6 linked regions of the Callithrix jacchus genome follow. The protein of the gene in region 4 binds, or shares a complex with, the protein of the main gene of each other region. Links are inferred from orthologs where the notes say so. Each region holds a gene or a part of one and is shown on either strand. Other genes may lie near its edges.

Evidence for each region.
Region 1: UPF3B (region 4) and MAGOH share a complex: the UniProt entries of both Homo sapiens proteins name them as parts of the mRNA splicing-dependent exon junction complex. The link is inferred for Callithrix jacchus from reciprocal best matches to the Homo sapiens genes UPF3B and MAGOH.
Region 2: UPF3B (region 4) and MAGOHB share a complex: the UniProt entries of both Homo sapiens proteins name them as parts of the mRNA splicing-dependent exon junction complex. The link is inferred for Callithrix jacchus from reciprocal best matches to the Homo sapiens genes UPF3B and MAGOHB.
Region 3: the proteins of UPF3B (region 4) and UPF2 are in contact, whole or in part, in a crystal structure (PDB 7NWU), measured with the Homo sapiens proteins. The link is inferred for Callithrix jacchus from reciprocal best matches to the Homo sapiens genes UPF3B and UPF2. Residues at the interface, in NP_542199.1 of Homo sapiens: Lys52, Arg56, Arg57, Tyr79, Glu81, Phe83, Asn85, Asp86, Thr87, Ser88, Leu89, Tyr90, His92, Tyr94, Arg96, Tyr98, Ile130, Glu132, Pro135, Phe136, Lys138, Ala139, Ala140, Arg147, Asp148, Lys150, Val151, Gly152, Thr153, Ile154; in NP_056357.1 of Homo sapiens: Lys767, Arg768, Pro769, Pro770, Leu771, Glu773, Tyr774, Lys777, Lys790, Arg793, Gln794, Arg796, Lys797, Leu798, Pro799, Trp800, Gln801, Cys811, Ile814, Asn815, Trp817, Tyr837, Gln838, Glu839, Asp840, Ile843, His844, Val846, Asp847, Gly848.
Region 5: UPF3B (region 4) and EIF4A3 share a complex: the UniProt entries of both Homo sapiens proteins name them as parts of the mRNA splicing-dependent exon junction complex. The link is inferred for Callithrix jacchus from reciprocal best matches to the Homo sapiens genes UPF3B and EIF4A3.
Region 6: UPF3B (region 4) and CASC3 share a complex: the UniProt entries of both Homo sapiens proteins name them as parts of the mRNA splicing-dependent exon junction complex. The link is inferred for Callithrix jacchus from reciprocal best matches to the Homo sapiens genes UPF3B and CASC3.

The regions. Positions count from the first base shown.
Region 1 is NC_133508.1:90,377,853-90,383,061, reverse strand, and holds the start of MAGOH (protein mago nashi homolog), read left to right. Parts: upstream 1-1,727; 5' UTR 1,728-1,797; coding exon 1,798-1,885; intron 1,886-4,373; coding exon 4,374-4,432; intron 4,433-5,209. UniProt on the Homo sapiens protein: Required for pre-mRNA splicing as component of the spliceosome. Plays a redundant role with MAGOHB as core component of the exon junction complex (EJC) and in the nonsense-mediated decay (NMD) pathway.
Region 2 is NC_133510.1:12,487,406-12,492,653, reverse strand, and holds the start of MAGOHB (protein mago nashi homolog 2), read right to left. Parts: upstream 3,584-5,248; 5' UTR 3,507-3,583; coding exon 3,413-3,506; intron 716-3,412; coding exon 657-715; intron 1-656. UniProt on the Homo sapiens protein: Required for pre-mRNA splicing as component of the spliceosome. Plays a redundant role with MAGOH in the exon junction complex and in the nonsense-mediated decay (NMD) pathway.
Region 3 is NC_133508.1:2,072,633-2,077,963, reverse strand, and holds the start of UPF2 (regulator of nonsense transcripts 2), read right to left. Parts: upstream 3,536-5,331; 5' UTR 3,146-3,535; intron 1-3,145. UniProt on the Homo sapiens protein: Involved in nonsense-mediated decay (NMD) of mRNAs containing premature stop codons by associating with the nuclear exon junction complex (EJC).
Region 4 is NC_133524.1:115,825,507-115,830,604, forward strand, and holds the start of UPF3B (regulator of nonsense transcripts 3B), read right to left. Parts: upstream 3,405-5,098; 5' UTR 3,368-3,404; coding exon 3,212-3,367; intron 2,140-3,211; coding exon 2,033-2,139; intron 1,867-2,032; coding exon 1,760-1,866; intron 1-1,759. UniProt on the Homo sapiens protein: Involved in nonsense-mediated decay (NMD) of mRNAs containing premature stop codons by associating with the nuclear exon junction complex (EJC) and serving as link between the EJC core and NMD machinery.
Region 5 is NC_133506.1:135,886,088-135,890,751, forward strand, and holds part of EIF4A3 (eukaryotic initiation factor 4A-III), read right to left. Parts: intron 4,198-4,664; coding exon 4,125-4,197; intron 1,801-4,124; coding exon 1,734-1,800; intron 1,421-1,733; coding exon 1,358-1,420; intron 474-1,357; coding exon 341-473; intron 127-340; coding exon 46-126; intron 1-45. UniProt on the Homo sapiens protein: ATP-dependent RNA helicase. Involved in pre-mRNA splicing as component of the spliceosome. Core component of the splicing-dependent multiprotein exon junction complex (EJC) deposited at splice junctions on mRNAs.
Region 6 is NC_133506.1:71,777,783-71,782,446, forward strand, and holds part of CASC3 (protein CASC3), read left to right. Parts: intron 1-662; coding exon 663-727; intron 728-1,324; coding exon 1,325-1,439; intron 1,440-1,676; coding exon 1,677-1,775; intron 1,776-2,025; coding exon 2,026-2,237; intron 2,238-3,144; coding exon 3,145-3,267; intron 3,268-3,418; coding exon 3,419-3,442; 3' UTR 3,443-3,483; intron 3,484-3,860; exon of another isoform or gene 3,861-4,664. UniProt on the Homo sapiens protein: Required for pre-mRNA splicing as component of the spliceosome. Core component of the splicing-dependent multiprotein exon junction complex (EJC) deposited at splice junctions on mRNAs.

The sequences.
Region 1 (5,209 bases), on a different chromosome or scaffold from region 4:
ATAGGGTCTTGCTTTGTCACTCAGGCTGGAGTGCAGTGGTGTGATCATGGTTCTCTGTAGCCTCAACCTCCCAGGCTCAAATGATCCTCCTACCTCAGCCTCCCAAGTAGCTGGGACTGCAGGTGTGCACCACCACACCTACCTAATTTTTAAATTTTTTGTAGAGACCAGGTCTCCCTATGTTGCCCAGGCTGATCTCAAACTCCTGGGCTCAAGTGATCCTCCTGCCTCAGCCTCCTTAAGTGCTGAGATTACAGGTGTGAGCCACCATGTCTAGTCCCCTTCTCTTTTATACAATTCCCTTGTTACTACCCATATCCAGTGTTTTGTAATAAAAATGCCTTATGGTTTTATAGCAATTTTGAAATTGTTTCTTATAACAGTTCTGCTAGGTGTACATTATTACGCTCATTTAAAGAGAAGGAAACTGAAGTCTAAAAAGTTGAGTCAGTTCACCTATAGTTACAATGAGTCACTGTTACACAAGCGATTATTTTAACCCATCTCCAGTGATTTTCCCCCACCACACCTACTCTACACTCTGCTTCTAATGCTTTTTCAGGGAGAAAAGGACTCAATGTTAAGACTGGGGACAGGAATCAAGACTGCGGTCCTGTCTGATTCCTGTCCCCAGTTCTAGTTGCCAGGTCCCAAGAATGATGTCATCTAGGCACTGTCTCTAGAACCATTCGTTCTAAGCTGGAACTTAGATGAATGAAAGTAGGCTCCTATTATAAAATTATGATCTTGATTGCCCTGGGCCTACTCAACTGTACATTTTTTCAGAGCCAGAAAGGCTTCATAGAGGACAATCACTTTACCCTGAAAAGAGCGAGCCCCTTTGGTCAGTGGTCCTCAACTCTGACTCACCTGGGAGCTTTATAAAAAGTACCAATTCCCAGGCCCAGCGGTGGAGATTTTAATTGGCTTGGGGCCCTGGCATCAGTATTTTTAGAGGCTCCCAGGTGATTGCAATGCGCAGCCAGGCTGAGAATCACTGCTGAGTAAATGGGATGAGTAATGGGAGATCAAATACTCACTTTAACTTCTCAAGCACCTATTCTGGAGACCAGTGGGGTAGAAAGATAGAAATAAAAGGTAGAAAGGGATGCAATGGATAAGTGTGAGTGAATTAGTTCCAGGGAAATGGCAATCTCCACTGTGGATTCAGGGAGAGCGTCACTGAGGACGACTTTCTTTTTTTTTTTTTGAGACAGAGAGGACGGCTTTCTTAACATTCAGGTCAGTGGAAGCCAACTTGAGGCACATATCGTGCGCGGCGTCCTCCGAGGAGCTCGGGTCATTTTACCCCACTTTACTGCCGAGATGACCTAGGTGCAGAGACGGTAAAGAGCGGTGTACGATTCACACAAGTCGGAAGTCCTGTGAACTGAGGTTGAGCCTGGCGGGTGCAAGGCTCGGGGTGTTCGGCCCGAGGTCTTTAAGTGAGGTCTCTGAACTCCTCGTTCAAAGCCCAGAGGTTGGTGAGCGGTAGGCTCTCGGCCTCAGGCCTGGAGAAAACCCAGGGGGTTGAGGGGTCAAATCTCAACCTCGCTCCCGCGTCCAGCTGGAGGGACCGAGCTGCTCGGCCCAGCCTCCGGACTAAACAAAGTTCGTTACCCGTGTAGCAGTCTTTTGCCGCTTCCGGGCGAAGAGGTTAGCAAGAGTGAAACCCTCCACTACGCGACGTCGTGGTAACGTCACTTCCGCGCGCCGCCCCAAACGTCAGTGTCGGGCGCAGACCGCGGCGGTGCGGCTTTCTCTTCGAGGTTCCGTCTCGGTTGTCTTTTGCGAGCCATGGAGAGTGACTTTTATCTACGTTACTACGTGGGGCACAAGGGCAAGTTCGGCCACGAGTTCCTGGAGTTTGAGTTCCGACCAGACGGTAAAAGCAGCCTGTAGCCTGCCGGGAGCGGGGACCAGGGATAAGGGCGGGCTACAGGCTGCCCGGAGTCGGGAGGCGGAGGGTCGGAAATCAGTGTGGAAAGACAGGAGGAAGGGACTGAGACCTGTGCAGCGAGAATCTGAAAGGAACGCCCCTGTGTCTGCTCCAGGGTTTTTTTGTTTTTGTTTTTTTTTAATCCATTTAACCAGTGTTGACCTTACGCTCACTGTGTGCCAGGCTCTGTTCCACTCTTTGGGGAAACGGCAGCGAAGGTAGACAAACTTCCCCTCTCATGGAATTTGTGTTTTAGTGCCGGGAGAGAGATCATAAACAAAAAGATGATTCCAGATAGTAGTGAGTGATTAAAAAAAAAAAGGTAGAATAATTGCTGGATGGGCTGCTTTTAGATAGGTTGACCATTAGAGCTCTCTGTAAAGGGTATATTGCAGCCGATCCCTACTTAACAACAAGGACCCAGCCTTGTGAAGCTCAGGAGGAAGACCATTCCACCCAAAGGGATTGGCAAATGTCAAGGCTGCAGGGCGGGAATGAGCTAGGCATGCCTCTCAAGTGGTCAGTGTGGTTAAAGAGTGATAAGGTGAGAGATAGCAGGAGATGACGTCAAATAGGTAGGTAGGAGCCACACCTTGTAAGTCTTTAAAGACCATGGTAAAAGCTTTGGACTTGAAAGGTTTGTTGTTGTTTGGACTTGGAAGGGTTGTTGTTTGTTGTTGTTTTGAGATGGAGTTTCGCTCTTTTTGCCCAGTCTGGAGTGCAGTGGCACTATCTTGGCTCACTGCAACCTCCGTCTCCCGGGTTCAAGAGATTCTAAGCCTCCGCCTCCCGAGTAGCTGGAATTACAGGCACCCACCACCACACCCGGCTAATTTTGTATTTTTGGTAGAGATGGGGTTTCACCATGTTGGCCAGGCTGGTCTCGGACTCCTGACCTCAGATGATCCGCCCACCTTGGCCTCCCAAAGTGCTGGGATTGCAGGCGTGAGCCACTGCTCCCAGCCGGACTTGGAAGGTTTTAAACAGAGAAGAAATGGGATCTGTTCTTGAAAAAGCATTCTGGTTATTGGGTGCACAAGGGCAAGAGTGGAAACAGGGCTATTGATTAGGAGGAGACTGTTGCAGTTGTCAAGACAAGAAAGTTATTGGTTGGGACTACGGCAACAGTAGAAATGGAGAGGATGGTTTAGGAAACTGTTGGAGGCAGAAACAGTTGGACTTTGCTGATTGATAGGATCTTGTTGAGGGGGCACTGTGGTGAAGGAAAGAGGAATCAAAGATAACAGAAAACATCCACTAAGTGGGGCACAAAGATGAAACTGACAGGCCTCGACTGTGAGGGAGATAGATTTATAAGCAAACAGTGATGAAACAGTGTATTGGGTGTTGTGGTAAAAAGAAACAGAGGAGGCTCGCAGCAGAGAAGAGGCACCTAACCAAGCCAGAGGGTCAGAGAAGGCTTCCTACATAAAATGATGTGGGAGAAAGGGATGTGAGGAATTGGTTAGGAGACCAAGAGTCAAGAAGGCATTTTAGACAACATGCAAAGAGGCTGAAAACCAAAAAGTGCTTGGGATGTTTCAGACAGAATACCAAATAGTTTGACTCCAGCCATGTGAGAGAAGAATATTGCAGGAGTGAGGCTAGAAAAGCAGGCAGGGGCCAGCTTAGCTGTATGCCATGTTGAGGAGTTTGGATTTTACCAGGAAGGCAGTGGAAAGCCATTAACTGTATTAAAATATTAGAGTAACCCAATCTGATAGGTCTGTTACCACATCACCGCGTCCACCGTATGGACAGTGAACTGAATGTGAAGAAACTTGAGGCAGAGACACAACACAGAGGCTGTTGGATAAATTCATTTGGCTCATCTCACATGTATGTCTTCTAGTCTACGGCAGGAGAAGTCATGTCTTCTATTTACTTTTATCTTCCCCTCATCCCCACCATATACTCACATTAACCTATTACATGCACCCATGGACAAAGGGTCTGGTGTACCAAATATGCTCAGTGATAAAAGCAACAGCTTTTCCATCACAGAAATAGAGGGTGGCACAGTCACATGATAATATATGTAAACAGCATCCTACAGTTTTCAAAATGTTTTCACAACTCATTTGAGCCTCAGGAGGTCCTATGTACGGGTAAGTTATCAATTACTATGCCTGTTTTCAGGATATTAACCTGCAAAAATGTGATTTGACAATGTCAGAAAAGAGCCTGCTTGTGTTTATATCTCACCTGAGCTGCGTTTTGCAGTAGAGTGTCAGCTGTATATTTGGCTGTTTAAGCCTGAAGTGAACTGAAAAAGACTAGTATTGTTGATATACCATAAGAGTAAATAATAAATCTATTAGACACTTTGAGCAAGTTAGATACATTTTAGGGAACTGCTGATAGTCTTGGTATGTATTGATGCTTTTATTCATATGTTTTTATTATACATGGAATTTGTTTTTTGCCCCCACAGGGAAATTAAGATACGCCAACAACAGCAATTACAAGAATGATGTCATGATCAGAAAAGAGGTATGAGTCTTCTGCCTTCTGAGAGTCCTTCATTTGCTACATTTCAGCTTTTTGTCTTGCATTTTTTTGTTCTTTCTGGTAGTACTGAAAGGTAGAGAACAGGGAGAAAAACACATGTCTGTAGACAGCTTCTGGATTATTTCCCAAATCATCTTTTAGTTGGTATTTTTTTCTTTTACAATGTGGAATCAACTACTGGTAACCATTGACATACCTTGGTTTGAACCCTGAGTATGCTGCCTACTACCCCATGTGACCTCGGGCAAGTTGCTAGCTGAACTTGATAAGTCCTTGTTTCTTCACCTGTAAAAGCAGGGATAATAACAGCTACCTCCCACTCCCAAGTGCTGTCATAAAATTAAATAGGTTATACTTAAAGTGCTCAGTATATTCACTGGCACATAGTACTCAAGGGAGAGCTATTTAATTTACATCTGAATGTGAAAAGGAATGTGGGAAAGCAGTTGATATCATTGAATGCATGTTAGATGTCAGGCAGGGCATCTTATTTAACCCTAATTATAAGCCCATGTGATGGGGGAGGGTATTATAAGAAAATAAAACCCCAGATATTAATTGTGAGGCTTGTTAAGAGTTACCCCTGCTAGTAAGAGATATAGCAGGAATTCCCAACCCTGCCCCAGTAAAGTTTGTATTCTCCATTCTGTGATCTCTACCACATTGTTAAGGCTTCATCAAAGCTACTGTTTACTTTTAGCCACTTTGCCACCTTTGAATATGTCTTAGTATATATTTTCATACTGTTATTTTAGCTAT
Region 2 (5,248 bases), on a different chromosome or scaffold from region 4:
ATCATAATAAAATATGATTAAAAATGTCCACCTGTGTTACCCCTCAACCGAAGGAAATAAGAGTTATAAACCCTGAATATTCAAATAGAGAAATACTGAAAAATTTCATTGATTCCAAAGGTATAGAATAGACTCATTCATCCTTGTTATATTACTTTTCTTCATCTCTTGCCCTTTCCTTTAACATATATTTTTTCCCTCTTCTCATCATTACCTGCCTTTGAAAACACTGTATTCTGCCTTTGTAACATTGAGATCCAAATACCTCCGACTGGTTAACTTGTGACGTCACAAGATCTATAAGGTGAACAGTAATAAATGGAAGTATACTGAGGCAGGAGAATCGCATGAGCCTGGAAGGCAGAGGCTGCAGTGAGCTGAGATCGCACCACTGCACTCCGGCTTAGGCGACAGAGCGAGACTCTGTCTCAAAAAATAAAAATAAATAAATAGATAAATGCAAGTATAGTTCACATCACAGTTAGTTCTCTGAACTTTCTCATCACTATGGATGCAACAATTGTATCTATTTGAAACAGAAATGCCTTTCTATCTATAAATTGGCTTCTTATTTACAATGGAAACTTAGATGTATTTTTGTAAATTCAACACACACTTGAAGAAAATGGGCTAAAAGACATTTGAATATAACTTACCTCTTTTCTGATCATTACGTCATTTTTGTAATTGCTGTTGTTGGCATATCTAAGCTTTCCTGTGAGAAGTGGAGAAAAAAAATCAATTTATAATAGCAAAAACTGCCAAAAAAAAATTAATGACATTGTATACAATTATGAAGGCAAAAACCATTTGATACTACTACTTTTATTAGTATTTCCTCCCTCCTTGTGTAAGATGCAGAAATGTAGACAATAAATATTTGCTGGTTAAGTTTGCTGAAGTTGAAGGTGGCCAAATATTTAAATAGCCCATGCCTATACTATATATTGGGTCATTTTTAAGGCCTGTTTTCTTAAGCTACATCATGAACTAGAAAGAGAATCTGCAAAAGGCACTAACATTCCTTTCAAGTTTGTTATATGTCCGTATTGGTGCTAAGTGTCTTACCCAGAGCATTTAATCTTTAAAACAACCCTAAAAAACAAGTTTTATTATCTCACGTATTCATAGGAGAGAAAACAAAGTAACTTAACCAGGGTCACACAAGATTCAGCTCTAAATCTACTTTCTTTCAATACTCATGCTTTCTCCACTACACAAAATGTTTTAATTTCTTTCCTTCCAGTGTATGCATACAATTATGATAATGCAGACATTTTAGAATTATGACTAAGAAGCATACAAACAATGCTTCTGGGTCAAAGTTGGTGAGTTTGTTGGCTGGTTTATATTTAATTTTAATCCATCACGATTTTTGTATTCTCTGATGTATACTTCCCCTTATGGCCAGTCAGTTGCCCAGACACAGGTACAATGTACTGCAGATACTCTAAAATGATGGAAATGCCAGTCTTTGATGGCCAGGGACAGTGGCTCATGCCTGTAATCCCAGCACTTTGGGAGGCTGAGGTGGGTGAATCACCTGATGTCAGCAGTTCAAGACGAGCCTGGCCAACATGGTGAAAAATTAGCTGGATGTGGTGGCGCATGCCCACAATCCCAGCTACTCAGGAGGCTGAGGCAGGAGAATCCCTTGAACCCAGGAGGCCGAGGTTGCAGTGAACCAGGATCACACCATTGCACTCCAGCCTGGGCGACAGAGCAAGATTCCAGTCTCAAAAAAGAAAAAAAGAAAAGAAAAAGAAAAAAGATGCCAGTCTTCAGGACTCACTATTACCAATGGAGGTATGTGGAATGGCGCGGTGGCAGCTACATTGATTAGAACCATTGTTCTACCATACAATTTCCCTGATAATATTCAGGTACTTAATTTATGTGACCTGCTAAAAGGGATAGGGATAAGCATGATGTTGTTCACAGGCAGAGGAACTGAAAATAATATTAAAGAAAGATCAATTCAGGTAAATTTAGCTGAATTTATGGAGAGAGTAAGGTTGAATACAGCGATTAAGGTTTCTAAATAACTGCAGGGCTGGCTGGGTGCAGTGGCTCATCCGTGTAATCCCAGGACTTCGGGCAGCTGAATCACTTGACCTCGAGAATTTGAGGCCAGCCTGGGCAACATGGGAAAACCTGTCTCTACCGAAAAGAAAAATGAGTCAGGAGAGGTGTCACGGGCCTTACTCCCAGCAACTCGGGAGGCTGAAGTGGGAGGATCACTTGCGCCCGAGAGGCAGAGGTTGTAGCGAGCTGAGACTGTGCCACTGCACTCAGATCGGAGTGACACAGTGAGACCCTGTCTCAAAAAAAATAATAACTGCAGGACTGTAGTTAACGTGAGTTCCGTCTGAAGTGCTTGGTACTCTCCTCTTTTCCTAATATACACTCCTCCTGTAATTTTCTATTCTTGCTCTCACAGAACATTGTCCAAAACATGCTTATAGGACTTAATATGCATATTGCCTTATAGTTAAACGTCTGTGTCTCCCACCAAGACCAATCTCTTTGAGTTAAATTTAAGTCTTACTATTGTATCTTCAAATTTTGTATTTGCTTGTTGCCCAGCACAAAATGTGCATTCAAAAAAACCCAAAAAATATGTTTCCAAATGAACTTTCTTGTTGGAGGTAGGCAAGATCAATGTAACATTCTCTAAGGATAGTGCTGTCAGAAAACACAAATTGTTGCACACTACATGGGTAGCAGTTTCACCTGGTCCTCGGCTCATTCTGCTCTGGAAGTCTGGTTTTTTTCTCTCTCAAAGGCCAAGTCTCTCATTTCCAGACTCATCTCAGTAGTGTCGTCATCTAGGAAGATTTTCCTGATTCCCTCCTGTGGAACTTTGCCTCTCTCCTCTTTTTTGATACTCTATATACATGCTGTGGTGAACAATTATACTTAAGCACCTAAAACATATTATTATTCTCATTTGTTAACACGTCGAGCTCCTCCCCTTCAAATAACACACACAGCCTGAACGAACAAAATGTACTGGTTGCAAGATTTTATTCATCTATTGGACCACCAATGGTGGGGGTGTTTTCAAAAAGATGCTAGCATTTTTAATTATGGCGACCATCTCCAGAACCTTTCAAGTCCCTTCAGATGCACTGTTAAAAAATTATAATTACTGTAGGTTCAACTTTTCAGTTTGTGACAGGATTAGCTTTAATTTATAGCAATTCTCTTTACTTTATAAAACCAACTTGGGCCTCCTATATTCTTAAGCTCCTATTTCCTTCGGGGAAAGCAGTGGCCTCCGCCCCCTGCACACTCTCAAGCCTACAGAAGCTCGGCTCACCCCACACCACCCGGCCTCCCCTCGCCTTCTCCACGGACTCTAGGTCTCGCTCCCCTTTCCTAGCACCGCGTGCCGTGGGCCTCTTCTCACCGTCCGGCCGAAATTCGAACTCCAGAAACTCGTGCCCAAACTTGCCCTTGTGCCCTACGTAGTAGCGCAGATAGAAATCGCTAGCCATAGACATTTTTGTCCCTGCTAAGCCCGCCGAAAACAGACACAAGGTATCGCCCGGCGCCTGGCAGTGACGTCATTGCGCGGAATACGTGCGTCACCACAGGCGCCGCTTTTCCTCGTTCGGTGCAGCCCTGCCGAAAAGCTGGAAGGCCGAGTGTCGCTTGAGAGGCCGGAGTCACCGAAGGGAGGGTCGCAGCGACGTGACTTACGCTTTAAGAGGATTGGAAGCACACTATTTTCAAAATAAGGATTATAGTATATTAGCAAAAACTAGAAATCTGAGCATATGATAGTCTTTTTTATGGATTTAGAGCTAAGGTTTGCAAGTCGCTCTTACTTTTCTGGTCTCCCAGTCTGGCATCTGTGAGGTGGGTGTGGCTTCATGCGCCTCTAACTGTGAGCTAAATAAAGATAAAGCTTAGAATCGAAATAGCAGACTGGGAGTATAAACCGTTTTTCTTGGTTTCTAACAGGGTGCTTTCCCCTTTGGATAATGCTTGGTAGTTACCTGGACTATAAGCCTATAATAATAGAGACAAAGTCCAAGAAATCTATCACACGAAAGAGCTGAAAGTCTTAGACACACAGACACGCTGGTACACACTGAAAAACCCTGACAGTTATAACAGCTACAAGTCTATAATAATAGAGACAAAGTCAAAGGAATCCATCATACGGAAGAGCTGAAGTCTTAAAACACACACACACTGAAAAATCCTGACAGTCACCGTGCTTTTAACAGCAGAACTTCTAAGGTTTTTCATGCATTCAGTAAGGGTTAACTTTTAGTAGCCTGTGGAGTTTTGGCAATTTGATTTAAGATATAATAAGGATATTTAGCCCACGTTTCTCGCCAGGTGGAATTAAATTGGAGGCATGAAAGAATGCTCCATTGTGGGGTGGGTTTGAAGGAAAGGAAAAGACTAAAGTCTGTTTTTCAAATATGATTGATCACCCTTTTGTTACCAACACACAGAGTAATCCTGTCTGTCGGTTGATAACCTTCAATGGAATTTAGTAAAAAGTAATGAGAAGACCTGGGATTCAATCCCAACACTTACAGCTTCCTAACCTTGGGCAGGTCACTATCTCTAAGCCTGTTTGTTCATCAGTCTTATGCATATAGAGCAATCTACTTTGTCAAATTCACAGAATTCTTGAGAGATCAAATGAGAATAATATGTAAAATAAGCTTTAAATTTTATAAAACAGCTTTTAACAAACATTTCCTATGTGACAAAAAGTTTGAAACTAGAAATGAGCCATTTGCACTGGTAGTCTAGAAAAGAAAGCAAATATGTAAGGCAAATATCAGCACAAGGGAGCAATTGCTAATTGCTCTTAATATATTTAAGATAATTAAGAATATACATAGCCAGGCATGTTGACTCATGCCTATAATCCCAGCACTTTGGGAAGCCAAGGCAGGCTAATCACCCAAGGTCAGGTGTTCAAGTCCAGAAACCCTGTCTCTACTAAAAATACAAAAATTAGCTGGTGTAGTGGCACATACTTGTAATCCTAGTTACTCAGGAGGCTGAGGCAGGATAATCACTTCAATTCAGGAATCGGAGGTTGCAGTGCGCCGAGATCGTGCCATTGTACTCCAGCCTGGGTGACAAGAGTGAAACTTCGTCTCGAAATAAAATAAAATAAAATAAAAGGAATATATATAAAGCATGCTGCTAATACAGCAGAGGAAGCAAATGCATTCTATTGCAGAGTAGGGAAATTTGAAAAAAGAGAAAGCTT
Region 3 (5,331 bases), on a different chromosome or scaffold from region 4:
AAAAGTAAATTACTTTTTAAAACAACCATATCAATAATATGCCAGAAAAGCAGAGACATCACCAAAATCCACTATAGAGGCTACGCTTCATCCAAAGCTGTGAACCCTTATAAAAGCCTCAATGTCAACAGACTCCACTTAGTAGGTATCATTATACTTACTAGTATTAGAGGCTACTGTGTGGAAACATTAGTGTTACGGCACAGTGTGGATATTAGTGTTAGGACATGGTGTATATATTATACTGGTGATGGAGAACAGTGCAGATATTACATTAACATCAGGAAACCATGTGGATAGTATTACATTAGTACTAGAAGCAACGGTGTGGATATCAGATTAGTGTTAGAGTATGGTGTGGGTATTATATTGGTGTTAGGGCATGGTATGAATATCATAGCAATGTTAGGACATGGTGTGATTATTATATTACAGGCCACTGTGAGAACATATCTTAGCAGCCACTGTGTCTGGATGTTGACAATGATATCAGGGTGTAGCTGTAATAATGGGATTTGGGGATTTCATTTTTCTAGATGAATTTCTTTGCTGAGTACTCTAAAGACTCTCTTCTCTGCACTCACAGCTGTGAAAAGGAAGCTTTTTACTCATTAATGAAGAAGACTTAGTTGACACAACCCTCGTGCTGCCCTGGCACCTCAGAGGGAAGTTGGTCAGGAGTGAGTTCACATACCCTTTGGTGGCACCAGAGCTCAGCCCAGACACTCTTGCTCAGTTTCTCAGCAGATGTGCACCCCCACCTGGCTGTCCTGAAATACCTACAAAATTCAATATTCAGTTTCTTCAATGTAATAATTTTGGAAACTCAAGCCAAAATGAAGCCCACTGTAGCCATATTCTTCCCAAAAATGGTGACAGAAGACTTTGGAAGCCATGTAGAATGAAATGACTATATACACGAAATAAGAAAAACAAAAACCTACTCAAAATAGTCCAGAGACTGTAATATGAAATACAAAACTATAAAAAATCTAAAAGAAAATCTAGATGACATTGGGTTTGGTGTTGAGTTTTTTTTTTTTTTTTTAATTTATTGTTTATTTTTTTTAATTAGTAGAGACGGGGTTTCACCATGTTGACCTGGATGGTCTCGATCTCTTAACCTCGTGATCCACCCCGGCCTCCCCAAGTGCTGGGATTACAGGCTTGAGCCACCGTGCCTGGCCGGTGTTGAGTTTTAATACACAACATCAAATGCCAATTCACGAAAATATTGATAACAGACTTTATAAAACTACATATTCTACTGTGAAAAACTGTAGATAAAACAAAAAGACAAGACAGACGTGAGAAGATTTTACACAATACATATGTGATTTTAAAACTGGATAAATATCTGAACAGATAACCACAGCAAAAGCCATGGTGGATGCCCATCTCTACTAAAAATATAAAAGTTACCCAGGCATGGTGGTGCATGCCTGTGATCCCAGCTGCTCGGGAGGCTGAGGAAAGACAATCGCTCGAACCTGGGAGGCAGAGGTTGTGGTGGGCCAAGATCACACCATTCCTCTGCCCTACTGTATATGTGAAAATGCAGATTCACTGAACCAGACTAAATTGTATTCAGTGGAAGGCTGATCAAGGATTCAAAAGGATGCAACCTTTTGTTTTATCTACCTCTGACCCAGAAGCACCCCCACTTCCTACTTCCGGTTGTTCCACCTTACTGAACCAAAAGACTGTACATCTTACACACATTGATTGGTGTCTCCTGTCTCTCTAAAATGTATAAAAGCAAGCTTTACCCTGACCACCTCGGGCCCATGTTGTCAGGATCTCCTGAGGCTGTGTCATGGGCATGTCCTTAACCTTGGCAAAAGAAGCGTTCTAAATTGGCTGAGACCTGACTCACGTATTTTGGGATCACAATCTGCAGTCGCCATGGTGTGACAGTTGACTACAGCATTCAGTACAGAGATATGCCATACAGGTTTGTAGCATGGGAGCAATAGGCGACACCATATAACTTATGTGTGGAGTGGGCTACACCAGCTATGATTTTAAAGGACACTCTATGGTGTTCGGACAAGAATGAAATCACCAAGGACAAATTTCTCAGAAAGAATTCACATCATTAGGAGATGCTTGAGTGTATTTTAAATGATTAAAGCCTAAGAGAGAAAAAAAAAAAAAAAAAGAAAAAGAAACTCAACTCCCGTTATGGTTTAATAAAAAAGCTTAATAGAGTTAACATATTTCATCTAACCTAAGATGCTAATGATGAACAGACATTATTTTACGCACCATCACAAATAGGTTGCCAATTAAACTGACTTTCTGAACAACATAAATGTGAATTTACTTCTATTAATGCCAGTAAAGTAAAATGAAAATGAAGTATGGTTTTGACATGTTAAAGCAAAACAGGAGGAAGCCGTTAGCCTGAGGTATTGCAAAGCAAACAGAAACCGAATTGGAGGCATTAAAACTGACTTCAAAACATTAGCAAACCACCCAGTGAATGACAATAAGCCCAGCCGCCAGCTGGCTGTATGATTAAGGACGCTGAGGGAAGCATCCCACCAACAGGTGGTCGCCTAGCTGGAGCCAAGGAGAAACCTCACTTAGCTGCCACCGCTAAGAGCTCGAAGCCCCAAGCCCTGCTTTGTGTTCTGGTGCTTCAGGTGTGATTCACGAATCATTCCTTTGCTTAAATAAACTGTTTATTTTGCCTAAAATTCTTCTAGCCCCTAAATCCTAACACATAACCGGTAACCCCCAACTCTAACCCTAACCCCTAGCCCTGATCCTCACCCTAAGCCCTAACCATACGTTAGTTTCTGCGTTTGCACTGACAAGTCAGTGTTGACAATTCAGACTGCTGTATGGGCCCGGCCGCATGGGCAGTGCGGATTATATAGTAACATTGTGGACTGAGGCCCTGCATGAGCATCACAGCTGTTTTCTACATGAGCGCTGCGGGTGTTGTATTGGCATTTCGGATGTCATATCTGCCTTAGGAACGCTCCATTTGTATTCTGAGGCTGCGGTGTGCACCTCGCACTGCAGCCGCGTGGCCTTGGCTTGGGAGAACCTCGGTGCTCAGGATTCAGAGGGGTTTTTGGGGTCCAGGTTTCCACACCGAGATCTTACTAGTGCAAACAGGAAAGATTTTACTCACTGTGGACACGGCCTAGACTTGTCCCAAAGTGAGGCTTTGCCCACTAGGTCTATGCTGTGGAGAACACAGCTCCATCCTCGCAGTGTCCCCCAGGTCTGCAATGGGACAATGAAACTCTGCAGACCGCCGAGATGCAATGCACGCTGGTACCGTGACACCGTCTGAAAAGGCGGGCTCGGGCGCCCCCTGCTGGCGGATGGGCAGTGCAGTGCCCTCTTGCTCCCGGTGATGTGCCCCCGCCCTCTTCTGGCGACTAGGGCCACTGCAAGGCCCTCTCCCAGTAAGACACAAGCCCCAAGGTCTGTGCTGAACAGGAGGCAGCTCCATCCTCGAAGCGCCCCCAGATCTACACTAAGGAGAACGCAACTCTGCAGACCGCTGTGACGCGACAAAGGGCGGCACTGTGACCGGACGCACATCTGCGGCGGAGCCTCAGGAATCTGAAACGGCGGGCTTGGGTGCCCCCTCCTGGTGGAGGACTACTGCAGGGCCCTCTTGCTCACACTGCAGTGGCAAGATGCCCCCTGCTGGCAACTAGGACAATGCAGCGTCCTCTTGCTCACTGGGCTGGGGGGCTGTGCATATGCACATAAGGTGCACCTACATGTACACAGTGTGCAACTACACGTACATGTGCACATACTGTATATCTGTACCTAATGTAAACATCATGCAAATGTGCACATGCTGTATGTCTCTACATAATGTGCACATTATGTACACGTGTATATATGGTACATCTGTACATAGTCTGTACATTATGCATACGTGAATATACTGTGTATATTATGTATACGTGTACATAATGTACATCTCTACATAATGTGCACATTATGTACACGTGTATATATGATACATCTGTACATAATGTACACAATGTGCACACATATGTACACGTGTCTATATAGTACATATGTAGATACTGTGTACATTATGTACGTTTACATATTGAAATGCCAAAATAAATTATATGTACATAATGTGTACAATCTGTACATTTACTGTGATACTACGTATTATATATATATTTTTTGTGATTTCATATATGGTATCATTGTGACATTAAAATAAATGTACATATCATACACATTATGTACATATAAATGTACATATTGTACAGATTATGTAAATTTATTGTGTATAGGTATTTTGTACACATTGTACATCACAGTAAATGTACATATGGTACATACAATATACATTTATTGTAATATTCCAAAAAACATACACATTATAAGTATATTCCAGGATATTATTTTTAGTATATTAGAAAAAAATCACTCCTAATATCAAAATGGGTATACACCCATGTGTGTCCATTTTGTGATATTATCCATCATATCCTAAGTAGGTATTACTCTCATTGTGAAAGCAAGTGTACACTCTGTGATTGTTCCAATATCACAGGCAAAGTAAAATGCTTCTGTGATGTAGTTAATCATATCCGAGGGACAAAGGATGACCATACCCTGAATATCGCAGGAAGTGTACACCACCACTGTAGTATTGTTTCTAATATTCAAAAACGGAGAGAATATTACTCCAAATATCTCAGAAAGCACACAAGCCCCCTGTGATATTGTTTCTAATACCTAGGGGATTACAGATGACATTACTCACGATGTGACTGGGGCTGTATGCCGGTCCTGTGATATTGTTCCTAATATCCAGAGAAGGAGAGGAGAATGTTGCTGTCCTTATGGAAACACTCTGAATACGGCAAGAGGTGTAAACCACACTCTGATATGGTCATTCATGTCCACAAAATAACAGTTATATTGAATTAAACATTGCAAGGGGTGAAACCCCCCTGTGCTTTCAATTCAAATGTCAAGGGGGGTGAGGATGACATTTTTGTCAATACCACAGAGGTGTAACTAGAGCTAGTGTTATTGTGCCTAATATATATAAAAAAACAGAATAACATTACCATCTCCCTATGATATGGTTCCCAGAATCATATTACACCATATTTTCAAAATAGCCAGTCCCTAGCAGCCAGGGTGGGCCTAGGGGCTTCTACAAGCCCTCTGGTAAGGGCTGTGGGCACAGCCCCTAGCCAGGGGGTCCCTTAGCAGCCAGGGTGGGCCTGGGGGCTGCTATGGGCCCTCAGGCAGGGGCTGTGGGCACAGCCTTCTAGCCCAGGCATCCCTAAGCATCCAGGGTGGGCATGAGGGCTGCTATGG
Region 4 (5,098 bases):
CCAGCCTGAGTAACAAAAGCAAAACTCTGCCTCAAAAAATAAAAAAAAGGAAAACATTTAAGGAAGATTAGCCAGCCATGGTGACACGTGTCTATAGTCCCAGCTACTCAGGAGGCTGAGGTGGGAGGGTTGCTTGAGCCCAGGAATTACAGGCTGCAGTGGGCTATGATTGCACTACTATGCTCCAGCCTGGGTGGGGCCCATCTCAAGAAATAAACAATAAATTGACAAGATTCATCACTTACATGTAAGAGATTTTTAAAAAGGAAAAAATTAAATGCAACTCAGATTTCCAGGCTAAGTAACTAGAATTTAGTGATTTAAATATCTAAATAAAATAGTTGGAATAAAATAGTTGGAGTGGAAAAACAGCTGGCTTGGGGAGATTAATAAAAGTTGGACAAACAGTGGCAATCCTTCAATTTTCACTGGCATAGTCCCTGACAAAGATTTAATTTTTACCAACTTTGAAATAATACTGAAAGAAACCAAAATTAAATAAGGAGACACACTATTTATGTATAACTGCAAACCAAAGAAAAGTGGCAATTTAGACATTCTCTGGCTAAATGTTGTAAGTAGCAGACAATAGAGTGTTAAAGCAGAAATGTGTCTTCCCTATAGACTGGACCTTCCCGGATGTTAAGGGCCGGGCGAGGTGGCTCATGCCTGTAATCCCAGCACTTTGGGAGGTTGAGGCGGGTGGATCACCTGAGGTTGGAAGTTTGAGACCAACCTGACCAACATGGTGAAACCCCGTCTCTACTAAAAATACAAAATTAGCTGGGCTTGGTGGCGCATACTTATAATCCCAGCTACTTGGGAGGCTGAGGTAGGAGAACTGCTTGAACTCAGGAGGCAGAGGTTGCAGTGCGCCGAGATCGTGCCACTGCACTCCAGCCTGCACAACAGCGAAACTCCATCTCAAAAAAAACCATAAAAACAAAAAACAAAGTAAGAGATATATCAAGTTTCATGTTTTATATACAACTTTGTGAGAATGTTAAACAGTATCTCAACTGGGAACTGTTGGCTTAATGGATCTGAATTAAGTAAATGCTTGTCCTTGAAGCAAACTATAAAGTAAATATTTAACACTTATCAAACAAGTTGAATAGTCACTTATCAGTACTGTGGCTGAAACTCTATATTCAAAACAGCGGGTTTAAGCCAGGGCAAAAAAATCTGTCACATGAGGAGAAAACAGTGGCAATTTCACTCAGTTGATCAAACTAAAGAAATAGTAGGTTATGGCCAGGCACAGTGGCTCATGTCTATAATCCCAACACTTTGGGAGGCCAAGGCGGGCGGATCACCTGAGGTCGGGAGTTCGAGACCAGCCTGACCAACATGGAGAAACCCCATCTCTACTAAAAATACAAAATTAGCCAGGCGTGGTGGCACATGCTTGTAGTCCCAGCTACTCAAGAGGCTGAGGCAGGAGAATCACTTGAACCTGGGAGGGGGAGACTGTGGTGAGACGAGATTGCGCCATTGCACTCCAGACTGGGCAACAAGAGCGAAAACGTCTCGAAAAAAGAAATAAAAAAGAAGTAGTAGGTTAATAAAAATAACTGAGGGCTATGAAAGGTAACAAAGTAACATGTCTATTTGTAACACTGCAATAAGCTTATTGAATGTGTTAACACTATTTAAATGTTGCACATTTTATCCCCCAGGAAACAACACAATGCATATATTGTCTTAAACATCCAAATGACAAAGAAACTCCCTTTTTACTTCAGTTACCAGCACTCACCTTTATTGTCAAGGAATACATAACCATCAAAGCGATCCCTGAACAAAATAATGTCCTCTTGGTTTTTAAAGTTGATGTATGCTCTGGCATACATATGAGGATACAGACTGCAGAAAGGAAAGCAATTATGTAAATGTACTTGCAGGTGTCTGGCCCAATTACAAGTATGCATATATTAAAGACAAGCTCAAAAATCAAATGAAAAACAGTAGGATAAAAAGAATGGAAGAAACCTTTTTTTATTTACCCCTTTCCTCCTTTTTTTTTTTTTACCTCGTATCATTAGAAAAAAACTCAAAATAATCATGTTCAGGCATAGGTTGAAGATGTTCCTGAAGTTGCTCCTTGGTCAAAGTGGGAGGTAATCTTCGAATTACCACCTTAAGAAAGGCATAGGAAAAGAAAATTAGTGCACATCAATTTTCTGTCATACTTGAAAGAATCACAGTTCCTGAAGAAAGCTGGGCTTTAAAATATGAGATCACTTGTAAAAACCCAGGAGGAAAAAAAAAAAAAAAAAACAACCCAAGAGGAAATATTCTTCTGCAGCCCAATGCTCAGAATTAGTCACACATAATAGTAACACGGTTTAAAAAAAAAAAAAAAAACCCTTGGAAATGAGAACCGCCTGGAACAAGGAAATCTCAGGTTTTTCTCTTTACAGCTGCCCTGCAGTTTACCAAGTTTGTGCATCAAAATCGAAAAGATCACCCATTTTTTAACAAATGTAGTGGCAAGAAATTAGCAAGCCAACCCTGGTCTTTGTGGATGCCACGAAATCTTGATTCAGTAACAACTTTCTCCGACATACAACACATCTTAAAACAAAATCCTTTTCCATTCAACTTAAGAATTCAAAACTCTAAAAATCCACCCATTGCTCTCAAAATAGGATGCTCTCGATCTACCCTCCCATACCATTAATACCCCTGCACAACTCGCCTCCGTTAATTATATTCCTATTCCCTCATGTCCCTTTCACTATTTTTCTCCCCCATTACACCTTTAGTTTCTCTCTCTCTCTTTTTTTTTTTTTTTTTTTTTTTAGTAGAGACGGGGTTTCACCATGTTGGTCAGGCTTGTCTCGAACTTCCGACCTCAAGTGATCCGCCCACCTAAGCCTCCCAAAGTGCTGGGATTACAGGCGTGAGCCTCCATGCCCGGCCAGTTTCTCATTCTTTTTACCGTTGCTCTCCCCTCCCATTATCATCTCACAGCTCTGACCTAAACCCTTCCCGTTTAGGGAGTCCCCCTTTTCCTCACCCCCACCAGGGTTTGGCCGGGAGAGGCTCTCCCCATTTCGGGTGACTGGATGAAACAGGATAATGCGACTTCCATTCAGGTGAAGAGATAGAAGAGAGAGAGAAAAAAGGGGCAGCCCCATTCCCAGCCATCCTCCCAGCACTCGCGGACCCGTCCCACCCTCTCCCGGGCCAGCGGCCGCCTCGGCACCTTGCTCAGCGCCTCTTTCTTCTCCTTGTTGCGATCCTGTTTATCTTCCCCCTTGGAACTGTCCCCCGAAGTCCCACCACCGCTGCCTGTGGCTCCAGGGGGCGTTAACAGGGTTACTCGCTTCTCCTTGGGCCTGTGCTCCTTTTCTTCCTTCATGGTTACGTCCGTCACGGAGGCGGCTCGGCCGCAACGCGTTACACCCGGCACCAACGGCTCCCGGGCAGCTCGCGTCAACGCTCCGCCCCCAACAAAAGCCCGTGGTGATAAGTCGGGCCCCAAGTTCCAATGGGCCCTGCCAAGATATCGCGAGAGTTGGGCCTTTCTCAGTGCAAAGGTTTCAACACCTGGCTTTTACTTCCAGCCCGCCAAGTTCTTGCGTCACCCTATCCCCTCGCGGCCCAGACTCCCTCGGGGCAGCTCCTTCGCGCGTCATTAGCAACTCCGCCATCTTGAAGTGACTATATCGGGAACTACAAATCCCGGCATGCAAAGCAGCCAGAGATAGCTCAGGGTCCCTGTTTGTAAGCAAATTGAATCCTTTCATCTTCAGAGATTTTCAGGTCGAAAGATAGGTTCTGCACGCTCAGTTTTCATCAGATAAACTCAATGCCGTCCAAATTTTGCCTCACTATGGGAGCGACTTGTATTTTCTATCATTGAATTCAGAGGCTTTATAATTTATTTTCCTACAACTCAAAGAAAAAGCCTGACATTTTTAAAAAGAATTTATTTTCCTTATATTGATTAGGATTTACAGACACTTAATAAACACTACAGTATTAGCCGAGTTCAGTGGCGCGCGCCTGTAGTCCTAGGCTCGGTAAGGCTTAGAAGGGAGGATCTTGAGCCCAAGAGTTCGAGGCTACATTGAGCCATGATCGGGCCACTGCACTCCAGCTTGGGCTTGGACAACAGAGCAAGACACTGTATCGAAAAAAGAATAATAATAAATAAACACAAGATACTGATATTTAAAGAAGTAATATGAGCAAAATATACGAGATTTGTTTTCATCACCTTATTTTAGCAAAAGGATTCTTCTCCCCAGGTACTGATGTCCCACAGGGAGGGGAATAAAAATAAAACCAGCTTGATTTAGTTGTGATCATCTTCCTCTTCACTTAAAAAAGGGCCAATTTTGGCCAGGCGCGGTGGCTCACGCCTATAATCCCAGCACTTTGGGAGGCCGAGGCGGGTGGATCACAAGGTCAAGAAATCAAGACCATCCTGGTCAACAAGGTGAAACACCATCTCTATTAAAAACACAAAAATTAGCTGGGCATGGTGGTGCGCGCCTGTAGTAACAGCTACTTGGGAGGCTGAGGCAGAAGAATTGCTTGAACTCAGGAGGCCGAGGTTGCGGTGAGCCGAGATCGTGCCATTGCACTCCAGTCTGGGTAAAAACAGCGAAACTCCGTCTCAAAAAAAAAAAAAAACAAGGCCAATTTTACATTATAATAACTCCGAACTGGAAACAATCCAAATATTCTGAACAGGGAAAAGGATAAACAAAATATGGTACATCCATAGAATGTAATACTACTCAGCAATAAAAATGAACTGTTGATATACTCAGCAACATAAGTGAATCTCACAGTGATTATGTTAAGTGAAAGAATCCAGATACAAAGAGAGTACATGTTGTATGATTCCATTTATATGAAATTTTAGAAAAGGTAAAACCACAGTGATAGAAAGCAGGTCAGTTGGCTGGACGCGGTGGCTCAGGCCTGTAATCCCAGCACTTTGGGAGGCCAAGGTGGGTGGATCACCTGAGGTCAGGAATTCGTTTGAGACCAGCCTGGCCAACTTGGAGAAACCCTGTCTACTAAAATGCAAAAATTAGCCAGGCGTGGTGGTGGGTGCCTGTAGTCCCAGCTACTTGGG
Region 5 (4,664 bases), on a different chromosome or scaffold from region 4:
AAGAACCAAGAATTACGTCAGTAGAAAAGTAATTGTTTCTCATACCTTTATTCAACATTTCATCAGCTTCATCCAAAACCAACATTTTGATAGCACGTGTCCTCAAGCTTCTGCGACGAATCATATCTATGACATAAGAGTTTGAAATAATTACACCCGAGGCTCCCAGGAAACAATTCATCATTCCAACTGCTCTAGCATTTCAGAGACCTCCCCACCTCCTGCAAGTGACGCAGGTGCAAGTCCATGTGACCTGCCAAACTGGAAGCGGTCCTGTACCATTTACACATGTCTTACAAATACTATTGGCAGTACCATTTTTAGTGACGAAAGTGCTTACCAAACACACGCCCTGGAGTGCCCGCAACAACATGCTGTCCATAATCCAGCTTTCTGATGTCCTCCCCAACATTGGTGCCCCCAATGCAGGCGTGGCACTGGACATTCATGTAGTCACCGAGAGCAAGCAGGCCCTAAATCAAAGCACAGGTTCATGTCCGGGGGTGGGACAGAGTCAGCAACATCCACATCTCCCCAGAAAGAAAAATGGCTTCTACTCTGAGACCATCACCAATGATTACTTATGCCATTATTTATGTCTCGAAACCACAAAGTTCTCCTGCAATTTTCTCTGACAATTTCAGGTTAATTTTGCTGGTTTCTTATTACAAAAGCTATACTATTAGCAGAACATAATACATAAATTTCATAATCCCATCTACCAAAAACACCCACATTAACATCTTAATAGCTATCTTTTAAAATATGTATCTTATGCTATGTAAGTATAAAATAGGTACAATTTGTTTTATTATTATAATTATTTTTGAGGTGAAGTTTCACTCTTGTTGCCCAGGCTGGAGTGCAATAGCATGATCTTAGCTCACCACAACCTTTGCCTCCCGAGTTCAAGCGATTCTCCTGCTCAGCTACGGAAGCAGCTGAGATTACAGGCAACTACCACCACACCCAACTTATTTTTTGTAGTTTTAGTAGAAACAGGGTTTCACCATGTTGACCAGGCTGGTCTCCAACTCCTGACCTCAGGTGATCCACCTGCTTCGGCCTCCCAAAGTGCTGCGGTTACAGGCGTGAGCCCCTGAGCCTGGCCTATTTTTATTAAAATTGATTTTTTGCTGAAAAATCTACACTCTAAGGCTGCAAAAAACTACTGAGAGCACGCAAGCCACACTAAAAATGACTTACTACAAACCAGCAATTTATATAATGGTTCATGGCAAAACGTTCAGCAGGTCGAGGTATCAGAAAACAGGACTGGATTATAAATGAGTGTTTCACAACTAAATCGCAAAAGCAGTACTTGCAAATCGGACCCCACTATCTTCAGCCATCTCACCTTCTGAATCTGCACAGCTAACTCTCTCGTGGGAGCCAAGATCAAAGCTTGAGTTTCACGAACCTGGTGAAATTATCAGAAAACAGAGAATCCTCAGTATTAACAGGGTGGACTGCAGTAATTCACACTCAGATCTATGAGGAACGGTATCTCATATTAATCAGATTTCTCTTACAGAGGTCGGCAAATCTTACTGTCATTTAAATTGCAAATCCAGCAATAACTGAATGTGTCAGTCTAGATCCTTGTCTGCAGACAAGAATTTCCTCCAGTTAAGAAGGAAATCATGACAGAGTATTAGTTAGTGCCAATATTAGCGTACAACTAAGACTCCCCTAGAACTACAGAACAGTTTGTTTTAAGAGTGGCAAATTACCTGAATATCCAAACACTGGAGGACTGAGATACTGAAGGTGGCTGTTTTGCCTGTGCCGGACTGAGACCTATTCAAGAAAACAAGAGCAGTGGGATTTAGAGGGAGGACAGGCCACTCCACCGCTGTGTCCTAAGGGCTGGGCTCCAGAGGCACCTGGGTACCTTCTTCCAAGAAGCTCCCGTACCCAACAACATTTCAACTGCGAGGAGGTGGGACTCAGGCCCAGTGTCATAGCTCTTAGGTGTCCATGAGGAGAGTAGACATGGCTTCTGAAGGGGGCAATGGAGCAAAAGACTAACTTCAAGAGGTGTTTCATAGGTGTCAGTAAAAGGAGGATACCCCTTTATCTAAATACAACTCTTTTCCTTCTATGATTTTGGACTAACTCCTCCAAAGAAATCTGTATGTAAATGAGTCTTTTTTAAATTAGGCAAATGAGGAATAAAGCTATTAAAAGAGGATTTGTGGTGCGAGGAGATATAGCTGTATCTAGGTTTTTATGCACAGTTCCTGACTCACAGCTCCATAACCCTGTTACAGTCTTATTAGATTGATGGGTTTGTTAGGCCTCAGGAAAGTCTCTCTAACCTTCTGCTCTCTCCTTTCACCTACTCCACAGCAGGGCTCTAATCTCCCCTGACTTTAAGACTGTGAGTCATAAGACCCTCATTCCATGGTGTGGTGGCTCAGGCCTGTATTCCCAGCACTCTGGGACACAGAGGCAGGAGGACTGCTTGAAGCCAGGAATTCAAGATCAGCCTGTGCAATACAGCGAGAGACCCCACTTCCAAACAAAACAAAACAAAAAACTAACTATGGAATGGCGGCACATTCTGGTAGTCCCAGCTACTTGGGGAGGTTGAGGTGGGATGATTCCTTAATCCTTGGAGTTAGAGGTTGCAGTGAGCTATGACTGCACCACTGCATTCCCGCCTGGGTGATGAAGGGAGACCCCGTATCTTTAAAAAAAAAAAGTGTTTAGGCCAGGCACAGTGGCTCATGCCTGTAATCTGAAAGCTTTGGGAAGCCAAGGCAGGCAGATCGCCAGGAGTTTGAGAGCAGTCTGGGCAACACAATGAAACCCTGTCTCTACAGAAAATGCAAAAATTAACTGGGCATGGTGATGTGTGCCTGTAGTCCCAGCTACTTGGGAGGCTGAGGTGGAAGGATCGCTGGAGTCTGGGAGGTCAAGGCTGCGGTGAGCTGTAATCACGCTACTGCACTCCAGCATGGGAGCCTGGAAGATAGTGTAAGACCCTGTCTCAAAGGAAAAAATTAAAATTAAAAAAATTTTTTTTCAAAAGCATCATGATATTATTCCAGAGAAGGTCCTGCCCTATACCCTAGGGGGAAGGAATGCTGACCTCGTGGAATTTTCCATAAAAACCCAAGAGGACCAGGTTCGAAGAGCTTCTGGATGGCTGAGCACAGATAGCCAAACACAAGGAGATTCTGGGAGGGTGACCACCCGCCTCTTGGAGGCTGCACCCCTTCCCCACATCTGTATCCTTTGCAGTACCCTGAATAATAAGCCACTAAATGTGTTTGCGTTCTTTGAGCTGCTGCTCCAGCAAATCAATCCAACCTAAAGAGGGGGCCGTGGGAACCTCAACTTGAAGCTGGTTGGTCACAAGTTCTAGACGTCCAGACTTGCGACTGAGATCTGAAAAGAGGGCAGTTGTGAGACTGAGCCCTTGACCTGTGGGACATGGCCCACCTCCAGGCAGATGGTATGAGAGTTGACCTGAAGGACACCCAGCTGGAAAACCCCCACACCTCTGGTCACAGAAGTCTTCTTCTGTGCTGATGACTGTGGTGGTGGTGTGAGAGCAGAAGCAAAGCACAGTCTGTTTTTCCGAAATTGTGTTACATACAATTCCACACACCAAAAACCACTAAGCAAAGCTGGCTAAGAAAATGAAAGCCTTCGGCTGGGCACAGTGGCTCACACCTGTAATCCCTGCACTTTAGGAGGCCAAGACATGTAGATCACCTGAGGTCAGGAGTTTAAGACCAGCCTGACCAAGAGGCTGAAACCCTGTCTCTACTAAAAATGCAAAACTAAGCCGGGCATGGTGGCAGGCGCCTGTAATCCCAGCTACTCGGGGAGGGTGAGGCAGGAGAATCACTTGAACCTGGAAGGCGGAGGCTGCAGTGAGCCGAGATCACTCTAGCCCCGGTAACAGAGCTAGACTCCGTCTCCAAAAAAAAAAAAAATGAAAGCCTTCTAGAGTAGAGAACACAAATTTAAAAATTATTAAACCCTGTGGCTAAAGTCAGGGAAAGCGTTGGTACTGAACGTGTAGAAACTGAGGAAAACGGTCATCCCAGAGCATCTAACTGTACTGCCCCGACTTGCATCCAGCCTGTGCTGACAGCAGGACGACTTACTGTGCGATGACGTCTCTCCCTTTGATTATCTGCTTAATTGCTCGTTGCTGGATCGCTGATGGTTTTTCAAAACCTGAAATAAAACAGAAAATTAGCTCTCACAATGACAGCATAGAAACCCTATACTGGCCGGGCGAGGAGGCTCACGCCTATAATCCCAGCACTTTGGGAGGCCAAGGCGGGTGGATCACGAGGTCAAGAGATCGAGACCATACTGGTCAACAACGTGAAACCCCGTCTCTACAAAAAGTACAAAAATTAGCTGGGCATGGTGGTGCGCGCCTGTAGTCCCAGCTACTCAAGAGGCTAAGGCAGGAGAATTGCTTGAACCCAGAAGGCGGAGGTTACGGTGAGCCGAGACTGTGCCATTGCACTCCAGTATGGGTAACAACAGCGAAACTCCGTCTCAAAAAAAAAAAAAGAAACCCTGTACTGTGAGCTTGTCAGGGGCAGACATGGTTTGCTTTTTGAACCCGCCCTCCAGCCTAACCCAATGTTCAACATAGCAAGCTCTGAAGCCCCAGAGGCTCAATGAACTGG
Region 6 (4,664 bases), on a different chromosome or scaffold from region 4:
GTTGCTCAGAAACTCTTGAGCTGAGATTTTTCAATATGTCAGATAATGTAATGTGCTAATTATAATCTCCCAGATGCAGAGAACAATTTGATAGGAAAAATTTGAACTTGATTTTCTTCACTGAAGTCATTTTTCATGTTCAAAGGCTTTATTACTATATTAAGATGGCAGACAGTGGGGACAAATTTCTAAATGCTGATGTTGACAGCAGAGATAATTTATAGAGAATTTTATTAGTTAAAAGAAGAAAGCCATTTCCCATGTGGACACTTAAACCTGTCATTTTCAGCCGGGTGTTGTGGCTCACACCTGTAATCCCAGCACTTTGGCAGGCAGATCACGAGATCAAGAGATGAAGACCATCCCGGTCAACATGGCAAAATCGTCTCTACTAAAAATACAAAAAATAGCCAGACGTGGTGACACATGCCTGTAATCCCAGCTACTCGGCAGACTGAGGCAGGAGAGTCGCTTGAACCCAGGAAGCAGAGATTGCAGTGAGCTGAGATCGCAGCACTGCACTTCAGCCTGGCGACAGAGTGAGACTCTTTCTCAAAAAAAAAAAAAAAACAAATGAAAAACCTGTCATTTTCTTAATGGTATCTTTAAGTCCCACTCACATATGTCTGACCTGCAGAAGTGACTTTTTCCGTGTATTACAGGTATGGCCAACCATATACACATGGGAGCAGGACCTCCACCTCAGTTTAACCGGATGGAAGAAATGGTACAGGAGGGGAAAGGGGTCGATGGGGGAGGAGGCTGCTTTACATAGCTTGTTCATTGTTTAAAACAAGATAAGGGCTGGGTGCGGTGGCTCACGCCTATAATCCCAGCACTTTGGGAGGCCGAGGCGGGTGGTTCACGAGGTCAAGAGATTGAGACCATTCTGGTCAACAAGATGAAACCTCGTCTCTACTAAAAATACAGAAATTAGCTGGGTATGGTGGTGCGCACCTGTAGTCCCAGTTACTCGCTGAGGCAGGAGAATTGCTTGAACCCAGGAGGCGGAGGTTACGGTGAGCCGAGATTGTGCCATTGCACTCCAGCCTGGGTAACAACAGCGAAACTCCGTCTCAAACAAAAAAACAAAAACAAGGTAAGATCCAAAAGTCAGCTTTCCCATTGATTATCCATGTTTCTTTTAATTTGGATCTCAAATCTTGATGTCTTTCATTGATTATTTTTCAACTCACTTTGCAAATACCTATTAAACACCTGCCATGTACCACACATACCAAGTGTTTTGCAGCAGCTAAAGGAAGGTAGGACTTGATATGAGAGCCCTCTAGAATTCTTGTTCAGGCCTCTTTCTTTGTCTCAGGGTGTCCAGGGTGGTCGAGCCAAACGCTATTCATCCCAGCGGCAAAGACCTGTGCCAGAGCCCCCTGCCCCTCCAGTGCATATCAGTATCGTGGAGGGACATTACTATGATCCACGTGAGTTTTTTCTTGTTGGGGTACTTTTCTTGGCAGGGTGAAGTGAACTAAGACACCAGGCTCCTGGCTCCTGAATTTCTCTTCTGACCTCTCAGTGTTTATCAAACATTGTCTGATTGCTCTTTTCCTCACATGCAATATTGAGAACATCTTTTAAAGGGTTTGGGGGACAAGGTGACTTGTCCATGTGATGTGAAGAGTAAGGGTTTATGAGAGTCCCAATGTGATATCTTACAGCACAGTTCCAGGGACCAATCTATACCCATGGTGACAGCCCTGCCCCGCTGCCTCCACAGGGCATGCTTGTGCAGCCAGAAATGCACCTTCCCCACCCAGGTAAGCTTTGTACCTGTGCTTGTATACCTCCGGTACCTGAGGATGTATGTTAGGAGTGCCACAAACCCCATCCTCCTCAGCTCTGTGCTGCTAGCCTGTGAGTGTGGCCATCCTTGGGCAACAAATTCCTCTTGTGTCCATCCTGAGGACTTCCATCCTGAGCCTCATTATGCTGAGCAGTCCAGCCAGGCCATCCTATGAAAATGGTGTTACTTTCTTTTTCAATTTTTGTTTTCTTCTCCTTATCCAGGTTTACATCCCCACCAGACACCAGCGCCTCTGCCCAATCCGGGTCTCTATCCCCCACCAGTGTCCATGTCTCCTGGACAGCCACCACCTCAGCAGTTGCTTGCTCCTACTTACTTTTCTGCTCCAGGCGTTATCTTTGGTAATCCCAGTTACCCTTATGCTCCAGGGGCACTGCCTCCCCCACCGCCGCCTCATCTATATCCTAATACGCAGGTGAGATGGTTAATGAGCATGTTTTTCTAGCTACACATCCTTTAATTCAGACAGGAATGTGGTATGGGGAGAATCCTAAAGGAATTTGAGAAAACATTTCAATGCCACTGATTTTTATGTGGCACCAGGACGCCTCTTAGTGGTCAGGAACTGGAAATGCAGCTTATGTAATGCCCATCATCTTTATTCTTTTCAGTTTTTTTTCTGTCACCCAGGCTGGAGTACAGTGGTGTGATCTCAGCCCACTGCAACCTCCACCTCTTGGGTTCAAGCGATTCTCCTGCCTCAGCCTCCCGAGTAGCTGGGATTACAGCGCCTGCCTCCACGCCGAGCTAATTTTTGTATTTCTAGTAGAGACAGGGTTTCACCATGTTGGCCAGGCTGGTCTCAAACTGCTGACCTCAAGCGATCCACCTGCCTTGGCCTTCCAAAGTGCTGGGATTACAGGCATGGGCTACTGCACCCAGCCTTCAGTTTCTCTAATGGTGTTTCTTTCCTGTGTTGTGGTACGTCATAGGCGGCAATATCTGCTTTTTATTCTGTTACATAAAGAAGCTGTATTGTACTCTTTATTACCCCTACCCTTGTCCTGCTTAACTTCCACCATGTTGACATAATCCAGCATCTGAAGTGTCACCACTGAACTCAGCCTTTTCCATTTGTCAGCTGGTGGTAGAAATTAGAGAAATCTGGGTAGTACTTTGAAGAAGGAGAAACAAGAGCATAATAATGATGAATTAAGGCAGAAATGAATAGTCACTTTATTTTGAAGGGTGGGCAGATTTTAGATATTTAAAAAATTATAAATAACCCAATACTCTTTTGTGGCTGAATAATATTTCCTATTTATCATAGATTGGATGAACTCATTCCTAACTTTTTCTTCTCCTGGTTTATCGGGTGCCAGGCCCCATCGCAGGTATATGGAGGAGTGACCTACTATAACCCCGCCCAGCAGCAGGTGCAACCAAAGCCCTCCCCACCCCGGAGGACTCCCCAGCCAGTCACCATCAAGCCCCCTCCACCTGAGGTATGAGAGCTCCTTCCCATACCTATTGCACATGCTCCATCAGTGGGCTTTCCTTCTCCCCAGAGGATTTCCCTTCTTTTCTGGGTGTGTTTCTATGGAAAATGGTCTCTTTGGTATGACCTGATAACAAATTCCAACTTTATTATTTCAGGTTGTAAGCAGGGGTTCCAGTTAATCTGAGTTTCTGAATATTTTAAATCTTAACATCATATAAAAGTAAGTGCACAACTTGCTGTGAATATTATTCTTAAAACTAATGCTCACATTTACTTGATTAACAAACAAAATCACCTAATTAATTCCTTTTTTTTTCTGTCGATTAGTATCACATTTTATTACACAAAATAAATTTCATCCTTGTTGCACATTCACTCTCGCTATAAATCTGGTTTTTAAAAAATCCCTAGGGATTCAGTCTCATCTATTTCATTGACGTCATGCCTCTATTGTAGTCAGAGTCCTCTCAAAGGACAAAAGCAGATGTGTCTGCCTTGGGTCAGCTGCACACAGTGTGCTCCTGGCCTGCCCGATGGAGGCGCGGCTCCCATCATCATCTGGACCGCGACTTCTAGGTACTGTCAAAGTGGCAGTATGTCATCGCCTTCACCAGCCCTTCTCCAGCAGCATAACCAGTCCTCCTAGCTGGTTCTCTGGGGACCAGCCATCATGTCGACGTGGTGGCAGTGTCCCCAGGCAGCTGACCATCCTGAGCTTCTCTTTGGGCAGGCCTGGGCCAGGGCCTTAGGGGATCTCTGTGTCCATGGCATAAATCTGAATGAGATCAAACACAATATTATCAATGATTGGCTTGGTAAGGTACTAAATACCTGCCACCATGGCTTCTCAGCCTCGACCTCAGCAGGTACCTCAACTCCATAGACCTGTAGGGCCAGGTAGAGCACTGCCACAGCTATGTGCTGGGCCTGGAAGCGGAGGCACAGCCCCCCATGGTAGCTGTCCCGCAGCAGGGCCCAGGCAGTGACGGCAACAGGAGTCCGCTGCCAGCTGTGGCGGTTCAGCCACTTCTTGAGGGAAACCAGGTAGTGGAGCAGGTACTTGTGTGGTTGCTGGAAGGAGACCTGGAAGCGCAAAACTCTCAGCATGAGAAGCTCGCACTGCACAATGCTGTCTCGGAGCTCCCAGAAGCAGGAGTCCAACTCCAGGGACTCACTGCTTGGGTTAAAGTACCTGTTGGACACATTGATGATATCACAAGTCCGCAGATGCTGCTCTTCCACTTTGCCAGCCAAGTAAATGGAAGACATAGCGATCAAGTAAGGGTCATAGGTATCCAGGTTGGTCTCACAGAAGAACTTATGGTAAATGGTGCAAGCAGTGGCAATGGGAATGAACCGCATCCCCAGCTTGACACCTGCTTCCATGATGAACCTCGACAC